4 linked regions of the Schizosaccharomyces pombe genome follow. Each later gene encodes a partner of the first gene's protein in a complex. Each region holds a gene or a part of one and is shown in the gene's direction. Other genes may lie near its edges.

What was found.
Region 2: mrp51 (region 1) and rsm27 share a complex: the UniProt entries of both Schizosaccharomyces pombe proteins name them as parts of the mitochondrial small ribosomal subunit.
Region 3: mrp51 (region 1) and rsm23 share a complex: the UniProt entries of both Schizosaccharomyces pombe proteins name them as parts of the mitochondrial small ribosomal subunit.
Region 4: mrp51 (region 1) and fyv4 share a complex: the UniProt entries of both Schizosaccharomyces pombe proteins name them as parts of the mitochondrial small ribosomal subunit.

Annotation. Positions count from the first base shown.
Region 1 is NC_003424.3:4,111,443-4,115,230, reverse strand, and holds mrp51 (mitochondrial 37S ribosomal protein bS1m), read left to right. Parts: upstream 1-1,572; 5' UTR 1,573-1,634; coding exon 1,635-2,546; 3' UTR 2,547-3,261; downstream 3,262-3,788. Other genes in the region: RecQ type DNA helicase Hrq1, read left to right, coding at 1-1,122, 1,298-1,416; bbc1 (SH3 domain-containing protein), read right to left, coding at 3,569-3,788. UniProt on the Schizosaccharomyces pombe protein: Component of the mitochondrial ribosome (mitoribosome), a dedicated translation machinery responsible for the synthesis of mitochondrial genome-encoded proteins, including at least some of the essential transmembrane subunits of the mitochondrial respiratory chain.
Region 2 is NC_003423.3:3,070,493-3,075,262, forward strand, and holds rsm27 (mitochondrial 37S ribosomal protein mS33), read left to right. Parts: upstream 1-1,761; 5' UTR 1,762-1,901; coding exon 1,902-2,137; intron 2,138-2,202; coding exon 2,203-2,240; intron 2,241-2,293; coding exon 2,294-2,301; 3' UTR 2,302-2,495; downstream 2,496-4,770. Other genes in the region: pyruvate dehydrogenase e1 component beta subunit Pdb1, read left to right, coding at 51-1,151; gpi1 (pig-Q), read right to left, coding at 2,496-4,457. UniProt on the Schizosaccharomyces pombe protein: Component of the mitochondrial ribosome (mitoribosome), a dedicated translation machinery responsible for the synthesis of mitochondrial genome-encoded proteins, including at least some of the essential transmembrane subunits of the mitochondrial respiratory chain.
Region 3 is NC_003423.3:2,065,684-2,069,688, reverse strand, and holds rsm23 (mitochondrial 37S ribosomal protein mS29), read left to right. Parts: upstream 1-1,698; 5' UTR 1,699-1,750; coding exon 1,751-3,181; 3' UTR 3,182-3,502; downstream 3,503-4,005. Other genes in the region: ribosome biogenesis protein Rrs1, read right to left, coding at 796-1,296; telomerase reverse transcriptase 1 protein Trt1, read left to right, coding at 3,579-3,836, 3,893-3,973. UniProt on the Schizosaccharomyces pombe protein: Component of the mitochondrial ribosome (mitoribosome), a dedicated translation machinery responsible for the synthesis of mitochondrial genome-encoded proteins, including at least some of the essential transmembrane subunits of the mitochondrial respiratory chain.
Region 4 is NC_003423.3:3,431,732-3,438,012, forward strand, and holds fyv4 (mitochondrial 37S ribosomal protein mS41 ), read left to right. Parts: upstream 1-1,936; 5' UTR 1,937-1,994; coding exon 1,995-2,088; exon of another isoform or gene 2,089-2,138; coding exon 2,139-2,386; 3' UTR 2,387-2,496; coding exon of another isoform or gene 2,497-2,829; 3' UTR 2,830-3,096; coding exon of another isoform or gene 3,097-4,641; 3' UTR 4,642-5,777; downstream 5,778-6,281. Other genes in the region: U1 snRNP-associated protein Prp39, read left to right, coding at 1-243; autophagy-associated protein Atg5, read right to left, coding at 471-863, 935-1,109, 1,156-1,274, 1,361-1,459; SPOM_SPBC4B4.12C (uncharacterized protein), read right to left, coding at 2,497-2,829; plasma membrane pantothenate transmembrane transporter Liz1, read right to left, coding at 3,097-4,641; syj1 (inositol-1,4,5-trisphosphate 5-phosphatase 1), read left to right, coding at 5,822-6,281. UniProt on the Schizosaccharomyces pombe protein: Component of the mitochondrial ribosome (mitoribosome), a dedicated translation machinery responsible for the synthesis of mitochondrial genome-encoded proteins, including at least some of the essential transmembrane subunits of the mitochondrial respiratory chain.

The DNA of each region.
Region 1 (3,788 bases):
CTGGTAGAAGGAATAAGTCTTCCTTAGCAGTATATATAGTTGAGACATTTCCCGTTGATCAGTTTTATTTAAAGCATCCTATTTTGATTCACACTCAACCAAATGCTGAACTCACTTTAGACTTGACAAATGAGGTATTACTAGCGAGTCATCTTCAGTGTGCTGCATATGAGCTTCCCATTAACATAAGGAGCGACGAAAAGTTTTTTGGAAATCAAATTCAAGACATTTGCGAAGCAAATTTAGAAATGGTTGAAGAGAGTTATCGGCCTCATCCAAAATATCTTCCTTTTCCTGCCTCGCAGGTACGGATACGAAGCGTTAGTGAAGACATGTTTACTCTCGTCGATGTCACAAATGATAAGAATGTTATTCTAGAACTCCTCGAACCTTTTCGTGTTGCATTAACTGCTTACGAAGGTGCAGTTTATGTTTATCAAGGAAAAACGTTTATCATTAGGCTCCTAAATATTAACAAGAGAATTATTACTGCTCATCAAGTTGATGTTGAATGGTCAACATTGCAAAGAGATTTCACAGATGTTGATCCTGTTCGCAGCTTAATGAAGAAGACTATGCATGGAAGTACAAACATTTATTTTGGGGCTGTTAAAGCAACATTACATGTATTTGGGTATTTCAAAGTTAACAAGCAGAAAGATATTCTGGACGTGGTAGATATTACCGATCATCCTGTTGAAATTGATAGTCGAGGTTTCTGGATAGATGTACCTTGGCATATCATTGAGGTTTTGTCATTAAAAAAAATAAATGGAGCCGCTAGTATACATGCTGCCCAACATGCTTTACTTTCGTTGATGCCAATTTTTATTAGTAACAGCGGTAACGATATTCGAACAGAATGTAAAGCGGGTGAAAAGGAGTATAAAGAGGCTAAAAGCGAGCGAAGACGTCCTTCCCGACTCATTTTCTATGATAATTGTGGTGATTCATCTGGTGCTGGTTTATGCAACAAGGCATATGAACATACTGATGAATTAATTACAATGGCCATTGAGCGAATTGAGAGTTGCGATTGCAAAGTTCGTGAAGGTTGTCCCGGATGTATTACGAGTTCAAAATTTGAAGGCGGAGTTTGCTCTGGAGAAGTACTTGACAAGGGTAAGTATAGATATACTTTGCATTTTTTGTTGGACGGTGAAGCAATCCCGTATAGATTGGTCGCTTAGTAGTTTGTAAGATAACACTCTCATTTTTTTTATGATCAAATGAAAAGGGATTGCTTGCAAACTTAAATAGATTATTCACATTACTTCTACTAACATATTTCTTTCAGTTGGCGCTTTAATCTTATTGAAAATGCTACTGTGTCAACATGTAAATTTAGATATATATGCTGATGGACCAGAGATTGATTCATATCACGCTTTGCGAACTTTAATACCTTCTTGTTAATAATTGAATTTATTTTTTTTATTTTGTTTATATTAGACTAAATTATTAGTTAGTACTACTAATATTGCGTTGTGCTTTTTGATTTTACATTTAAACCCTACCCTAACTTACCGGAGTCAATGTTAGATACTGACAGCGCTCAGTGCTTACTACCGTACAGCCACCGTTCTCCTCATAGAAGCCAAGTCCCAATATAAATCTTGAATTTTTGTAAAAATATGAGTTTTGCACAAATTCTCCGTGGCTCGAGGGCAATGGCTTCTCCAAAATGTCTTCCAGAATCCAATTATTCAACATCACACCTTCGGTTTCCTCGATTGCAATCCATAACTTCAAAAAAAAATAGTAGAGCTCGTGGTGATTGGGGACTGAAAAGGACTCTTCCAAAAATAAAGACAAGATACATATGTGTGCGGCAGCAAGATTCCTTATACAAGCAAGCAGATTTTCAATCAAGCGCTAAATTTGTTCGTCTAGTTCGCAATTGGTTTGATGCTGGATTTGTACGAGATCCTTCTGAAGTTGCTTTGTTGCAAGAATTATTGAAAGAAACGGGGTTGAAAGATACGCGTGACATAAATAAGGTATTTTCTCCTTCTAAACAATCCGACGAAAATGATAACTTTCGCCGTTACGGAGTTTCTGGCGGTATTCAATACAGTAATGTTCCTTTAATTAATTCTCGAGTAACACCTAATTGTGAATCAAATTGTTCCAATATTCGACGTCGACTTACGGCCCATATAATTAGTTCAGATGCCTCTACTGCATACTACGGTTTAGGGGGCTTGATTCTGAGGCTACCTCGAACAGTTGTCTTTAATAGAAATCGGTCATCTCCCCTCTTTTCCCAGGAACAGCGCATTTCTTATACAGTCTATAAAAATGGTCGACTCCGACTAGTTCCCTTTTCCGGTCCCGAGTTAGAAACACATCTTGCCTATCCCTCGGAAGACTCGGAGGTTGAATCGTTTTTTAACAGAGATATTCAATTGGTAGCCAAAAGAGATTCATCTCTCGATGCTCCCGTATCCTATCAACGGGGTATTATGAAATTTTTTATGGCTCCCTCTCAAACCTCAAATAATGAAGCTAATTCCTCAGAGAAAGATAACCTCTCTAATTCGTAGAGGACTTTATGATCATGTGCATTTATGCTATCTCCTTATGGTTTACTCGATTTTAAGTTGCATTTAACAACCTATCATTTTTATTATTAAGAAGGTTCGTTTAAGTCTCCTATATTCTGTTGTTATCCCACAGTACAATCTACCACTAGCAATAATCTTAACGACATACGATTCTCCTTTAAAAAATCTTTCAATCTATTTATTCTTACTTCTCTTTGTGTGGCATCAAATTCTTGTACCAATAATGGGTCTATTGCTTCAAATGACTCTTACACTTTCCATTTGTTTCCCTATTTACTAGTTTACCCTAAACTGCGTTTTGCACTTGACGGTTGTTCATTTTGGTGAACAGTCATAACACTTGAACTGAATGTGTTTTCTAAGAAGTTTGTTTGGTTTGCAATGTTACATCCTTGTTCTCTGGGTGTTAGTGAAAGTCACTCTCGTTAATCTTGACTAGGTATATATTTCAGTTAACCGTTATTTTCGGTTTCACCTCGAAATAAATGTTTTTTGTTGATTATATAAGCGCAAGCGTTTGAAAAAAGAGTTAGAATTTTGTAAAGGATTTTTTTTTTCCGAAATTGTCTTTAAGTACAGTTCAATAACTTACAAAATCTTATCCTTTTACCATACATTGTTAATTGTGCATTTCAACTGTTTAATTAGATATAACTGATTATTAGCATATACTATAAAAATGACTGTAGATGTGTATATATATTTCAAAAGTTGAATCACATAGCCCAATCTTTGGTATATATGTGAATATAATTCAGCAAACAACTTCCACGAGATATAAGTCTTCTAAAAACATAGGGCGTGTCGTCAAAAAATGATATAAATAATCCCAATCGTCAAAGATATATCAGTGAAAGAATATACTGACAGACGATCATTAAGGACTATTCAAATCTGCTTCGCAATTGAACAATTTAAAAAAATGAGTGCTGCTCTTTAGGAAGTTTGAGTTATTTGTGATAAAATGATAAGAACTTAAAACCATAGTAAAATAATTACCATTAATTCCAACCAAGCCAAGATCGACGCATTACACGCCACACAGTAACTTCTCCACTCTTTAAATCACCGAATTTGTAGCTTGCAACTGAAACCTTCTTGGACTCTCTGCCTTGTTCCAACACCCTAATCTTCAGTTTCGAAACATCCCACTCTGATATGATACCATAATGCATGGGCTTACCAACTTCAAGAGAGTATTTTGAACGAAGAGTACCTTTT
Region 2 (4,770 bases), on another chromosome or scaffold:
GATAGCCCTAATTTTTAACGAAGTTAAAAAGAAGTTTGAGGGAATTTAAAATGATTCGTCTTCAAAAGTTTGGTGAAATTGTTGGGACCAGTCGTTCTTGGAAACTTCTTAGTTCAACCATCGCAAAGCGCTATTCTTCTTCTTCCAATGGAGTGAAGGAAATGACCGTTCGTGATGCTTTGAACAGTGCAATGGAAGAAGAAATGAAACGTGACGATCGTGTCTTCTTGATTGGCGAAGAGGTTGCGCAATACAATGGTGCTTATAAGATATCTAGAGGTTTATTAGACAAGTTTGGTCCTAAACGTGTTATCGACACTCCCATTACTGAAATGGGTTTTACTGGTTTGGCAACAGGTGCTGCTTTTGCTGGTTTACGTCCTATTTGTGAGTTTATGACTTTCAATTTTTCCATGCAGGCTATCGATCATATCGTTAACTCGGCCGCCAGAACCCTGTACATGTCTGGTGGTATTCAGGCTTGTCCTATTGTCTTCCGTGGACCTAATGGGCCTGCCGCTGCAGTTGCTGCTCAGCATTCTCAACACTTTGCTCCATGGTATGGTAGTATCCCTGGTCTTAAAGTAGTTTCTCCTTACTCAGCAGAAGATGCTCGTGGTTTGTTGAAGGCTGCTATTCGTGATCCTAATCCCGTTGTTGTACTTGAAAACGAAATTCTTTATGGTAAAACCTTTCCAATTTCGAAAGAAGCGTTGAGCGAGGACTTTGTGCTTCCCTTTGGCCTTGCTAAGGTGGAGCGCCCCGGTAAAGATATCACCATCGTTGGTGAGTCTATTTCTGTTGTTACTGCTTTAGAAGCAGCTGACAAGCTCAAGGCTGACTATGGTGTTGAAGCTGAAGTTATAAACTTGCGTAGTATTCGTCCTTTAGACATCAATACTATCGCGGCCAGTGTTAAGAAGACAAATCGTATTGTGACTGTTGACCAGGCATATAGTCAACATGGTATTGGTAGTGAAATTGCTGCTCAAATTATGGAGTCTGACGCATTTGATTATCTTGATGCTCCTGTTGAACGTGTAAGTATGGCAGATGTTCCCATGCCTTATAGTCATCCTGTTGAGGCTGCTTCTGTCCCAAATGCCGATGTTGTTGTTGCTGCTGCTAAAAAATGCTTGTATATTAAATAACAAGCTCAATTGTTGAGTCATCTGTTTAATAAAACCCGCTCTTTTCCCTTTTCCGAATAGTTGATATCTACGTATTTCGCTTTCTATTATTTTTACATTATCTACAAAGTGTAAATATCTAAGATGCTTGTCTTTAATGACTCAGATTATTGTGTGTGGGTCTTAGATGGTTTTAATTTCTTTGCAATTATTTGCGAAGATATGATTTTTCCAACCATCTTTCCAATTGGTTATCCGGGTTGGTATATCTACCTTTCAGGATAGTTTTGCTTCGTTTATCCTTAATATATGTTATATTGTATATATTACTAAATTCGTGTAAGTTTTTTAACGTAATCTGAAAGCCAGTGAACTTCAATTATATTATATTACAGCTAATGGAAATAATACGCTATATGAATATGTTCAACTATTTGGTGTCTATTATACTCTACTTAACTACTCGTAACCTCTTAAAGCGTAGAATATTAAGTACTTGATCCCACTAAACCTATTTACAGGTCTATCTTTAGTCAATGCACCAAAATGTTTCCATGTGGGGTTGATGAACTACTTATCCCACATCATCCGCTGTAGTATATCTAAGTAGACTTGCGCTAATAATACTTACAATAACAGAATTTCAGAATCCTTGCAGATGAAATCATAGTAGTGTCTTTAGCCTTATTATTGTTGTTTTTATTTCGTTTTGCCTTTAACTTTAAGCAACCACATTCCCTAGGAGCCTTCCCTAATTTTTGGTATAAAATCATGGCTAGCAAAGCAATCCTGGAAGAATTAAATATTCTCTCATCAAAAATATTTGGCACTCAGTATAAATCAAACAACTCGAGAACGGGTCGCAAATTTGTAGTACAAGAGCTGAAGGGAGCAAAACTGAAGAGCTACTATCCCGCAACTATCAATTATCGTCAATTAAGGACCCTTTTAAATGATAAAACATTTCCCGATAGTGATGAGGAATTGCGAATGGAAATCAGGAAAGGGTATGTTAGTTGTTAATTGAGATTGAATGTTTCTTTCACAAGAAATTAGCTAATTAAAATACTAGGAGAATACGCCAAGGAAAAGGAGCCTCCAAGTCAAAAAGTATGTAAAGCTTACTATAAAACCGAATTAGGAACCTTCTAACTCCTGTTTAGAAAAATAAATAATTGAAAATTGTGCCTTTCTAATACTTTGCGGTTACATTTCGCACATTTTCTTTCCAATTATTATCAAATGGGTAACGGCTAAACAGCTTTGAACGAAACTGATAAACTAAGTTTAATTATAAAAATTTTGTTGTTTCATAAACAAAAAATATTATATATCAACTGTGTGCAACAATACTTAACATTTTGATCAGTCGTAAGGAAATTTTTTCTGATGAAAAAGAAGATCTCGCAGTTTTCTAATAGATATTCTTTTGGTCGGAAGCATAGCGTACTGGATATTGTAGAGTTGCTCAGCAGGTATCGCTGGAACTGGGCAACCTACGAGCAAACTAATCAAAGTAGTTTTTGAAAGGTAATGCGAAATTAACCTACGCGCCAGTTTCCGATAATGCTCAAACATGGATCCAAGAGACATCGGTTTGGAGTTGCAATTGAGATATAGCGTTGCGAAGCCGTCTTGTTTTAATGGTTCAAAGCTGACTATCTCAAAATTCAGCCCACTTGGTATTCTATAAGGATCTTTAATTCGTAACATTGTAACAAATAATGGGAAGTGATTCAGGAAGGCTAACATAGTTTCACAGATTGCCAAGCATGTCATCACGGATACTCGTGTTAATGCAAATGCTGCATAGAAAACATATATTGTAGGTAAGAAGAATATTAGTACCGTAAAAAGGATTGTTCCTAAAAGTAGTTGGTCTAAATCATACTCATATGAGTCGATTCTATTTCGTAAAACGTTTCTTTTTTTTCCTCGAAAAAGCTGCAGCAAACTATAAATTACACGTAGCTGCCAATTATACAAACGTGATGAAGCCAAATAAAGCAAATGTATATGAATAGTCATAACACTTAAAAAATCAGAAATTAAAGCGATCATTAAACTAGCACCCCCAAACCCAGAAATAGCGACAACTTGAACCAAAAATGGAGTCCAAGGCAAACAATGCAAAAGAAAATTACTCCATACGTCAATAACCCATACAGAAAGCTTCATAATAAACTTGCAAATGTCGTTGTTTAGTTTTAATCCAGCAGGAGTATCCACGAGCCATATAACCATAGAACGAACGTTTTTTATCGCATACTCGAATGTGATATTTTCTATTAATTTTACCACCAGATGAAGATTCTCTAAAATAAATGAACTCATTGTAATCCCAAAGATCATGTCATTCGCAACCAACCAAAGGTTGTTATAGAATCTAATATATTCTTTGTAATCCTCTATCGCAACGCGCTTGCTTTTCCGAAAAACCCATAATTTCATATATTGTACAGGCCAAAAACACGCTTGTTGCAACCTCAAATCTACTTGACGAGCAGAAACGAAAATATCCATCATATTATAAGATAAAGGAATCGGTCGGTAATTAATCGCCAAGAGTATAACCTCATTAATTATCCTCAATAATATGATAAAGTAAGCAAACAGCGAATTAAAAAAATAAAAGGTTGATGACGAGACACGATCAAAAAGTCGAAAAACATATGAATTTTTTTTGTTATTATTTTCATGTGTTAACATGCGAACCTCGAAGGATTGATTAAGAAGCTCAATTAAGCCTGAGCGTAGACTCCTTTTCCAGCTATTTTCTTTGCGTCGGGGAAAGTGCAATTTCAATTTTTTTAACAGTATTTGCTGGTGTTGCATGCTTTCGTATTCAGGGTTTGACTTGTTAATAAAACTATCTTTTAACAATAAAAGCGATAGAGGTTCAAGGGAAAGAAATTGCATTTTTCTTGGCTGCGGAGGATGATAATAAATTATATGCAGATTTATTTTTAAAGGCGTACTAGCCGAATCGAAAACTCGGGGATGAGAAAGCTCAGTCGATTGCTGCACTTTGATCCAACAATCAATTTCATATTTGTCACCCGGCAAAATATCGGCAGAGCAATTAAACGTGCCTAATATACACAGAGATTTAATATCTACTGATTGATCTTGATTTTTGCAATAATCAACTAAAAAATTAGCGAAGGATTGATAACTAGTAATTGTTGTCACAACGATAAGATCGTTGGTAGAGTACTTCCAACCAACTAAGTAACCAGAATCGGTATAAGAGATCGTACTTTTGGGCCAATATATCCGTTTCACTTCAATTGGAGCCGAAGCTATATTCATGGTTGTGGTAGACATTTGAAATATAATATTGAATGCTCTGAAGTCAATTCCGAAGTGTTTAATAAAAAAGACAAACAAGTAATAACAGACTTTAGAAGCATACAAAAAACTTTTGTTAAGAAAAATATAACAGGAGATGATACTGCTCTCTCCGGTGTTTAGAACTCAAGTTGTAAAATCAAAAACTTCCTCGACGTAAAAGCTGTTCCCTTGCAGAAATGCCACCGCTAACTGACGTTGAGTTACGAGCTTCGGATTCAGCGATTCGTTCTAAAAGAATGAAAATAAAAAATCCTAAAACGGTAAACAGTAGTACGTATGAAGGAAC
Region 3 (4,005 bases), on another chromosome or scaffold:
ATATAATCTACTAAAAATTTATGTTTACCACTCAAAAGGATATGTTTTGATTGAGTATATCATTCATAGAAAATGCAAAAACCAATTTTAGAACATAAACAATTATATTTTTAAAAATTCACAGCTATATTTGCATCAGCCGGGAGTCGAACCCGGAGCTAGAGCATGGGAAGCTCCAATGTTACCGCTACACCACTAATGCATTCAGATATTTAGACTGATGTTGCAATCTATATAGTAATTTAGAAAGGATTGTTATTGTTGAGTCTGATGAAATTCTGTTTGTTGAACATTTCAAAAATGTTGCATATCAGTTAGCCATGAGTTGGGCTCTTAATATGATGTTCCAGCCTTTTAAGACTGCATACAGAAAATAATAATTAACTACGATATGGTCGCATTTTAACTGTATGAAACTTTTTTTACAAGAGGTTATTAGAAAATTCAATTGGAGGAAATCCCACAGTGTATCAAAACAGTTGCTGTTAAAACTTACTTTACACTTAACTCGTAAACATTCAACATTTTAACGTTCGATTTTCGAGTAGCAGCTTCAAAAAAGTGCTCGTTAATTTTTAACACATAAAAATGTGTAAACAAAGCAGCCACATAACCGATGTCTTACATATTCCTTCTGTACCCGTTGATATCCCAATTGAAGAAGGGATTTTAGTTGTAGCAAACAAAAACAAACGATAATAACAAAATAAAAATGATATTATACCACTTAACCCATGAATAGCTAAATTATAGTAAATTTTTAAATTAAGAAAAATTTTTTTTAAGCAGGACCAATTAATGGCGACGAGAGCGCTTGATTTTTTTTGAGGTATTTCTCACTTGCTTGGAAGTAAGCTTCTTTTCCTTTTCTCCCTCTTCAACAAGCCATTGTGTCTCTAATTCCTTATTTTTACCCTTATAACCCCATTTTGGTACCCATTCACCAGATGCTTCATCAAACACCAACCTGCCTTCCCGCTTCTTAGGAGCAATACCTTTAATACGAGCAAACCGTTGCCATTTGGTTTCGGGCTTGGGTTTAGGTAAAGGTTTAGCACGAGGAAGAGGTGTAACAGTTTCAGGAAGCTGTAAAAGGACGCCATCTGATGTACGCTCCTTAGGCAAGGAAATCATTTTGTTCACCAATTGTTGAACGTTATCTCTACTGAGAGAAAAAAGGAATGATTCTTTCTCTGAACCGCTAAGCTTAGTTTCATCTAAGGGAGAAATATCAAATGCAGCCATATTTCCCAAATCGAAATCTAGAGGAATGGAGTTTTCTATTTGTGCAGACATGATTAACGAAATAGGGACAAGGAAAAAAAAAGGGTTGATAATACAATTAAGTGACAAAAAGTTCTCAAAAAAGACTGCAAAATTGATTTGTTAAAAAGTTGGTTCAGGATACGAAATTCTTCTTTCAAACTCCAAAATTTTTATCAAACTACTGAATATATAAGAGAAAAAGCTCTCTTTCAGTTCAGCAATCTACTGTTTTTACTTTCTTTATGACAAACGAAGAAAGTAAGAAAACTTTTACGATTCTTTAGTTTTTGCAAAAGTAGAGACACTTATTAGCAATACGTTAGTTCTCTTTATTACTGAACGCCAAATCTACCCTATTAAAAAATATTAGCAATGCGCTAAGAGCTCAGTAAATACTTACCATCCGGAAGCAGTCAGTCTCTTCATTTACGTGAGAACAGATATGTATACTTAAGATTTACGAGAAAAAAATACCTCTAACAAAATGCTACCGAAGTTTAGAAGCAGAAGTAGTATTATTAAGAATACAGAGAGAATTTCTAATATCCTGTCCGGTGGAAAACTGACTGTTTGCGGTAGTAAACTGGGAGGACTCTACACTTTTGAAAAATGCACATTTAACAAATACTATTCATCCTCACAATACCAGCATACGGGTAGACCTGTTGGAGGAAATATACATTCAAGCTCTAACCAGCAGCGTCAAAAAAATTCGGAAGCGCCAAGAATTAATGAAATTCCCCCCTCAACTTCGTCAGTAGAGAAATCGACGACTATTCCCAATAGTAGCGTTGTATTGGATCATCTCTTAAATGAAGGAGAAAATACTTTAGAAGAGGTGAAGCCCTCTGAAATTCATCCGCATATGTCTTGGTCCAGCAAGTCTGAAGGTAAGATGTTTAAAATCCCCGAGGAATTGCTTAATAAACTTAATGGATTTGGGGCTTTAGAAAAACAAAAAAAAAGTTTCTCCTTTTTTACCAGTGCTTCCCTTTTGCACAGGAAAATTACAACTGAATTAGTGAATGTACTGCAGCGCTCCAAAGACCAGGGTACGAAGGACGGACGTTTTCTTCTTGATGGTGCTCCAGGTTCAGGAAGAAGTATTGCTCTCATACAAGCTGAACTTTTCGCCTTATCACAACCTAATTTTATAGTCTTGCCAGTCCATAACTGCGAAGGATGGGTAAATTCAACGAGTAGTTATGGTTATGATGAGCAACTCAAGTTGTGGGTGCAACCAGATTTAATTAAGGGATTTCTAACTTCTGTTATGAAAACTAATTCTGATAAACTTAAGAAGCTAAAGACCTTTGAAAGTCATGAGTTGCTTCAGAACGAATGCATTCCTGCTGGTACCGATTTACTTTCCTTTCTTCATAAGCTAATTGCTTCCTCGAACGCTCCTAAATCTCTGGAAATATTTTTACAAGAACTCAATAACAATACCAAGTCAAATTCCAATATGAAGGTGTTATTAGTGATCGATAATATTTCTATTTTATCGGTCGTTACCAAGTATAAGGACAAAAAGAACAACTTCCTTCCCCCTAAAGACTTTTACTTTATTAATTTACTTTTCAAATATATTTCGGGTTCGCTTACTTTTAATCGTGGTACTGTTTTAGCTGCTACTTCTAGCCAACCGCGTGTTTCTACCCCGTCATTGGATATAGCTCTTGGAGTAGCTCACAGAAATCCTTACAAATCTTCTGATGAGACTATATTAGATTCATTACAGTCCGTGCATATTCTTAACATGGAGCCTTACACTTTAGATGAGTCACGTCGCATGATGGAGTATTTGGTATCATCCAACGTTTGCCTTGAAAAGGTTGATAATTATTTGCAAAATCATGTCCTTAGTGGTGGTAATCCGCGAAAGTTTTTTGATGCTTGCACACGTCTAGCATGATTGAGATATTCAAAAATTTCTATCCACTACAACTCCTTTAACGCGGTTTTATTTTTCTATTTTCTATTCTCATGTTGTTCCAAATATGTATCATCTCGTATTAGGCTTTTTTCCGTTTTACTCCTGGAATCGTACCTTTTTCACTATTCCCCCTAATGAATAATCTAAATTAGTTTCGCTTATAATTGATAGTAGTAGAAAGATTGGTGATTCTACTCGTGTAATGTTATTAGTTTAAAGATACTTTGCAAAACATTTATTAGCTATCATTATATAAAAAAAATCCTATAATTATAAATATTAATCAATATTTGCGGTCACTATTTATTTAAAACGTTATGATCAGTAGGACACTTTGCATATATATAGTTATGCTTAATGGTTACTTGTAACTTGCATGACCGAACACCATACCCCCAAAAGCAGGATTCTTCGCTTTCTAGAGAATCAATATGTATACCTATGTACCTTAAATGATTATGTACAACTTGTTTTGAGAGGGTCGCCGGCAAGCTCGTATAGCAATATATGCGAACGCTTGAGAAGCGATGTACAAACGTCCTTTTCTATTTTTCTTCATTCGACTGTAGTCGGCTTCGACAGTAAGCCAGATGAAGGTGTTCAATTTTCTTCTCCAAAATGCTCACAGTCAGAGGTATATATATTTTTGTTTTGATTTTTTTCTATTCGGGATAGCTAATATATGGGCAGCTAATAGCGAATGTTGTAAAACAGATGTTCGATGAAAGTTTTGAGCGTCGAAGGAATCTACTGATGAAAGGGTTTTCCATGGTAAGGTATTCTAATTGTGAAATATTTACCTG
Region 4 (6,281 bases), on another chromosome or scaffold:
TTATTAATTGATCGAGATGTCTTTGGGCCTTTTAGTGTACGGGAATCCCACTGGAAAAAGCTCGATGAAGGACAAGATTTGAAACAGGTTAGTACTAGGCTTTTAAGCACTAACGGTCACCCTGGTATTTCTGTGAATGAAGCAAAAATCAAGTCTGGTGAATCTCCATATGAGAAATATTACCGTCTTCAGGGTGTTGTTGAGACAGTAACATCTGGTGTTGCTGCCAATGGGTCTTCATAATCTACGACTTCTCATTAAAAAGAAATTTTCATAGTCAAATTATCAATGCTATATCTCGTTGCATTTCCTACTTCTTAAAAAGCAGTTTGTTTAGGGAAAGGAGTACTCAAACGCACCTTAATGTCATTGTAAAGTCATTGCTAGACTGCATGGGTATACAAATCTTAAAATTATTTGTACATGAATAACAAATTATCTAAAGGAGCTAGAGAAGAGACGTAAATGTTTTAAACTTTCATTAAAACAATATGTAAAAACCCATCAATGTAACAGAAATCTCGATTGAGCTCGTCTAAAACGCTCTGAAGAAAAATTGTAATACCATGAATAACTGGTTTAACTATTAAGAATTTATCACATGATGGAAACAAGTCGGGAAGGCGTTTATTGAGAAACTCACCAAGAGAACTACCAAGAGGTGCAGAAGTTTGTATAATAGGAGCATTGGCCCCTAAATAAATTTTTAAAGGAATGAATTTGGATTTTGAAAAAAGTATTTTTATAGCAATGGGACGGAAATCATAGTAATCATGATTGAGTATTGCATTCCAGTAGGTGTCTGTTTCTGCCTTTGAAAGAGCGATTATTCCAGACGAACTTCCGTTACGAACGTAATCAGACTGTAAAAAGTTAATATGGATTTACCCCTTTTGTAAATAAATCATATATGTTTTTGTGATAGAGAACGCACCTCTTTTAAGCAGTTGAAAAAATATGTTCGAAAAGTATCCATGGTTTCCATTTGAAGTATTTTGGTTGTAGGAAATAGACCTGAGCGCAATTGAATGCGCCATAGCACCGGCGCTCGAGGAGTATCCGGATCAAACACTGTTAACAAATCGAAAAGTAAGCCAACAGGCCAATGCCTATATTATGATTAATTTACGGAAAGTTACTTTGGGTAAACGATACCATTTAAGAGGAACCCCATTATAATCCAACCAACATTCTGATAAAGGGATTGAAGGTGCCAACAGACGTTGAACATTTGGGAGTATTTGAGCAAAATATGATTGTCGCGGGACGTTAGCCTTAGGTAGAATATGGTGAGCAAAAAGGAAAAAATAAATTGAGTTAAAGAATATTAAATTACTACTTGAGTGAACAAATCACATACTAGATAGGCCAGAGAATTACCTTCATAATCAATGCGCACAGAAATAGTGCCATTCCAAAGGAGCTCTGGAATATTGCCTTTATTATTATCGACATTCATTTTTAAAAAACATCTCCAATACTGTGATTAGAAATTGTGCTTTTGTTGTATACTTAACAAACTCGTGGGTGGTTGGAATGCGTTGATAAATAGCTTAGAGTCAGACATTCACTATAATTAGTTAAATTAATGTTTTTACAATTAAAGTAAGTGGGCTTTAAATACACATAGTAGAGTCTTCAAAAAATTCACCCGAAAATATAACTGGTAATTTATATGTTCAAAATACGAGTTCCTGCTATACAAAAACCGCAATTAGGAATTTGTAGATTCACTGTATTGATTAGTTAATAGACACGTAATGACTTTTCGGAAGTAGAAGTTTGAGATATTCAAGGGACTTGAAAGTTTGCATGCAGTAAATCTCATAAAAGAATTAAAAGCAAGGATTTATATAGCTAATAATTGCAGGCACTAAGCTTGACATGGTCGCACTATGAGTCGCTAGTACGTTTGTGAGACTTTCGCATACGTTCCAGAAACTGTACACAACTTATTTAAACAACCAAATATTTTTAAAACAATACTGGTAAATATGTTGATCTTGAAGAGGATTTTCATTATAAGAAATTTTATATTTCCTTTTTCTAACTGCCGGTATGCCTCTACTGTTCCTAGTCCAAGATCAGGTATGAGATTTCAAAACATTAGTGCAATTTAAATTCCTAACAAGATTCAGGGATTTCTAATACAAATGATTTCTTTAAAAGAATTGGAAGAGATACTGCAGAAAAAGTGAACGGAAAATTCGAGTCTTGGGATGGTCTATTTAGGAAAAGTACAAAAACTATGAAAAAGGAAGGTATTGATGTACGTACAAGGAAATACATTGCAAGCCAAAGAAACCGATTTAAAGAAGGGTTTATAGTTAAGCCATATCCAGTTATGGTTAAAAAGAATGGAGGTGAGCGACGCAAACGTAAATAATAAGTATATGGAATATTATATTCTTTTGAGACATTCTTTCTTCTTTTTGTAGTTGAGTTTTTGCTTGAGTTCGAATTAATCTAAAATTTGCTTAAAATAGCCAACACTGTTCAAAGCATGTCTTTTCTCGACGAAGATGTGGAGCCTAGAACGCAAAGCCGATTAAACAATTGTCCATGAAACCATTTAGCAAATTCTGGAGAATTTTCCATTAGTGCGGAATTGGCGCTAGGGTATTGTCTCCCTCTTTCCAAGTTATTTTCATTTGTTTCGTTCACGGGCTTCCATTCCCACTCTCCTGCCCAGATTAATTTAGCTTCAATTTTTTCTCTAGTCCTAATATATAAAAAATTTTCTTTTAGCTCCATTAAGTCTACACCATCGCTAAATTCCTTTAGGACTGATGTATACTCAATAACTTGTTGATCATTGCCGGATACCATCCAAACTATACGTATAGTTGGTATTTCTATTTAATGGTTATAAATTTTTAACTTCAGCTGCACCTTAAATCGTTTGTTAGCAGATTCTTTTTGAGTATGTGTGCAAAGGTATTCGTTTGCGTTTGCGTCAAAGGGCTTGGTCAATTAGATGAGCCAACTGTGGTAAATTTTTATGTTAGGTTGATATCAATATGAACAGCAAATTTACTCTAAATGTGTACTTAAAGGCATAAGGAATATTTATACTATGTCATTAATCTTCTAGTACTAATCTTGGGCATTCGTTTCTTTTGGCATGGAAATTCGCTGTCGCGTTATCACAAGCCCTGGAGAACTAATTTCTTTGACCGCATTAGTTGTGTTGAGTGATTCCTCATCATTTTTGCCTATTTTTTTTAACTCTAAACTTTCATGCTCAGTGAATACATCATCGAAATCTTTTGCATCCTGGATGGATCGTTTAATTCTTTTATCGCGGATTTGCATGTAACTAACAATACAAGAGCTAACAAAGACTATTCCTCCTACCACCAGCAAACCAATTAATCCTTTTATAAATCGAGGCGTATCAGTATTGGGATACATTATAGGTGCCCACCAAATATGCCAGATATTCTGACACATATTCATCAAAAACACAACAACTCCTCTTTCCTGATCATTATCCCGGCAAATGTCATTTGCCCAAGAAAACCAAACTGCTTGTCCAGCATATGTACAACCAGAAGCGAAATAAGCAAAGAATTTTGCGCCATCTGGCACGTTCCATGCTAGAAGTATTGTAGCAGAAACAGTAGTAATTACGCACAGAAAAAGTCCAAAAGGCCATCTTGGGTTTCCAGCTAATTTATCAGAAATAACACTAGCACCTAACGTTGATACTACGCCAACAGCTGTAATCACAGTTGGGTAATTATTTATTTGGGCAACAGAAAATTTGTTGCTCCATTTCATCCACTGACCCATCAATACATTGACAGCTATAGCTTGTGTTTCTCCGCTAAAAATCCAAAGGATGCACAAACCGTAAATTCGCCATGAACGTACAATATCCTTTATCGCTTTTAGCGTTAATGGCTTCTTCTTGGGGCGAGCGGGTAGCCTTTTGAAACTTAATTCTTTTTCTTGTTCTGTAAAATAAGGAGCCTTGGTTGTTTCTGGAACGTCAGGAAACAGAAAGAGCCCATATAATGAAAGAGGAATCGTCAAAATGCCATCAATTATAAAAAGCCAACGCCAACCAGATAAACCACCTTTACCATTTAATGATGAATGAACTGCTGTTTGCAAATACCCAGCAAACATTGTGCCGACTAAACCAGAGGCTGAAAAAATTCCGGCACGTTTGCATAGTTCACTTTCTTTGTACCATGCGCCCAATATATAATGCGTACCAGCAAATGTAGATGCCTCCGCAACCGCCATGAAAAAGCGTAAAATCATCAATGCTCGAACGGAATGTACCGCAAATGAAAAAATCGTCATAAGTCCCCATAAAATATTCATAACCGAAAACCAAAGTCTTGCTGGTACTCTCTGTAATGCATAAGAACCTGGCAATTGTCCTATAATGTATCCACATGTAAAAACAACGTTTATATCTTGCAATTCATTACCATGCATTTTCAAATCCTCTTGCATACCACTAAGGTATGCATTGTTTATTGATGATCTATCCAAGTAATTAATAAAATATGAAACGCAACAGTAAGAAAGTATGAACCAATCTATTTTTATTAAAAGCTTTTGTTCAACTTTGTTTAATCCATAATAAGGGGAAAAGGTTTTTGCCAACCTATTTAGTAACGCCATTACGACTTGTCTCACTTATGAAATATTCACGACAATTTACAGAGGAGACCTAACTTAAATTTTTATGGCTTTAGAAAACGTACAATTTCAATGGATTCTCATGAAAAGTGCCTATATTAAAGTAAAGCCAGGGACCTAAGCAAGGAACAAACACTTCGAGTCAAAATCGAATTGCAGACTGTTGGAATATCAATATGCTCCAGCCAGGAAAATTTTTTCTTTAATTTTTCTGAAAAATCAAGATTATAAGTATCGATCGAGCCTTCTAAAAAGTGACAATATCAATGCCGGAAACCCAATCTTAATTTTTAGATGTGCGCTGATTACTCGGAATTGGCTAGCAAGTTGGATACTTATTCTCGACGTAGCCACAATGAGTACTATACTTTGCTGCTCTATTTGTGGAAATTAACTGTATTGCAAAAAACATCTAACCTTTCAATTAATAAGCATTCGGTTCAAGTGGCTACAATACAATAACCACTATTTGCGAGATTAAACATACTATTACAGTAACCAACACATTTGAAATGTAAAAAATTGCCATAGTTGAAGCTATTCAGCGTCAGCGAACATCTTCGGAGAGCTCAAATAATCTTAGCTCTTAAGATGGGGGTTTTTTCTGCCGAATACTGTATCTGTTTGACTTTTATTTTTAATACGTTGGAGTAACCGCTGTATTCTTGTGCAACTTGGTGTTTTTGAAATTAACAATGGCACTGTTGATGAACGAAAGTGAATTATAATACATTTTTTGACAGTACCAATCTTATGGAAGTGCCTTGAAATCCTGTTACGTTACGTTTTAGCAAGATCGCTTCTCTTATGATTTTCTTGTTTCAATGGTTTTCTACCCATAATCAATGAAATATGTTTACAAGGGTTACGAGTTTTGTAAAGCAAATGCACTTTAAAAATTGACCAGAAACTTCCATATATTAGAACCAAAATTTTTTGGAATACATTTTAACATAGTAAATTAAAATAAGCCGTTTACTTATTCTAATTTACAGAAGCGCTTCTATAATGTTTAAGTAACGAACGTTTTTGTCACCCAACACCACCCAACTTCGTATCCCAAGATTTATAACTTGTTCGGACAAACATCGTTGGTAAAGACTTGCATCGTTCATTACAGAACGAATTTTATTATTTATAGTTCACATTTGTGAATCTTAAGATGCAATGTCTGCTGAGGGAAAAGCCAAGATCCTTGGCCTTAGTCAATAAGGACCATGCTCTTATGTTTCATTCGGTTCCTCAGAACAAAAACTCTTTATCAGTATGTGTTGCAGAATTTACGGCATTGTCAGAAAAGCCGTTAGAAGGATTTCGAAAAATCTCCAGTCATCGAATTTATGGTACTCTAGGTCTGATTGAATTAGAAGGGTCCAATTTTTTGTGCGTGATTAGTGGAGCTAGTGAGGTAGCACGTGTGCGAGATAAAGAAAGAGTTTTTCGTATCATGGAGGTCTGCTTTTACAGTGTTAATCGTTCAAACTGGGATCACATTCGACAAGAAAATTACTCGCCTGATATTCCGGATGGTTACGATACCGATACCCAAGGCTATGATTCTTACAAGTATGCCGCTGAACCATTCAGTAGTCTCAGAAAGCTATTAACAAATGGATCATTTT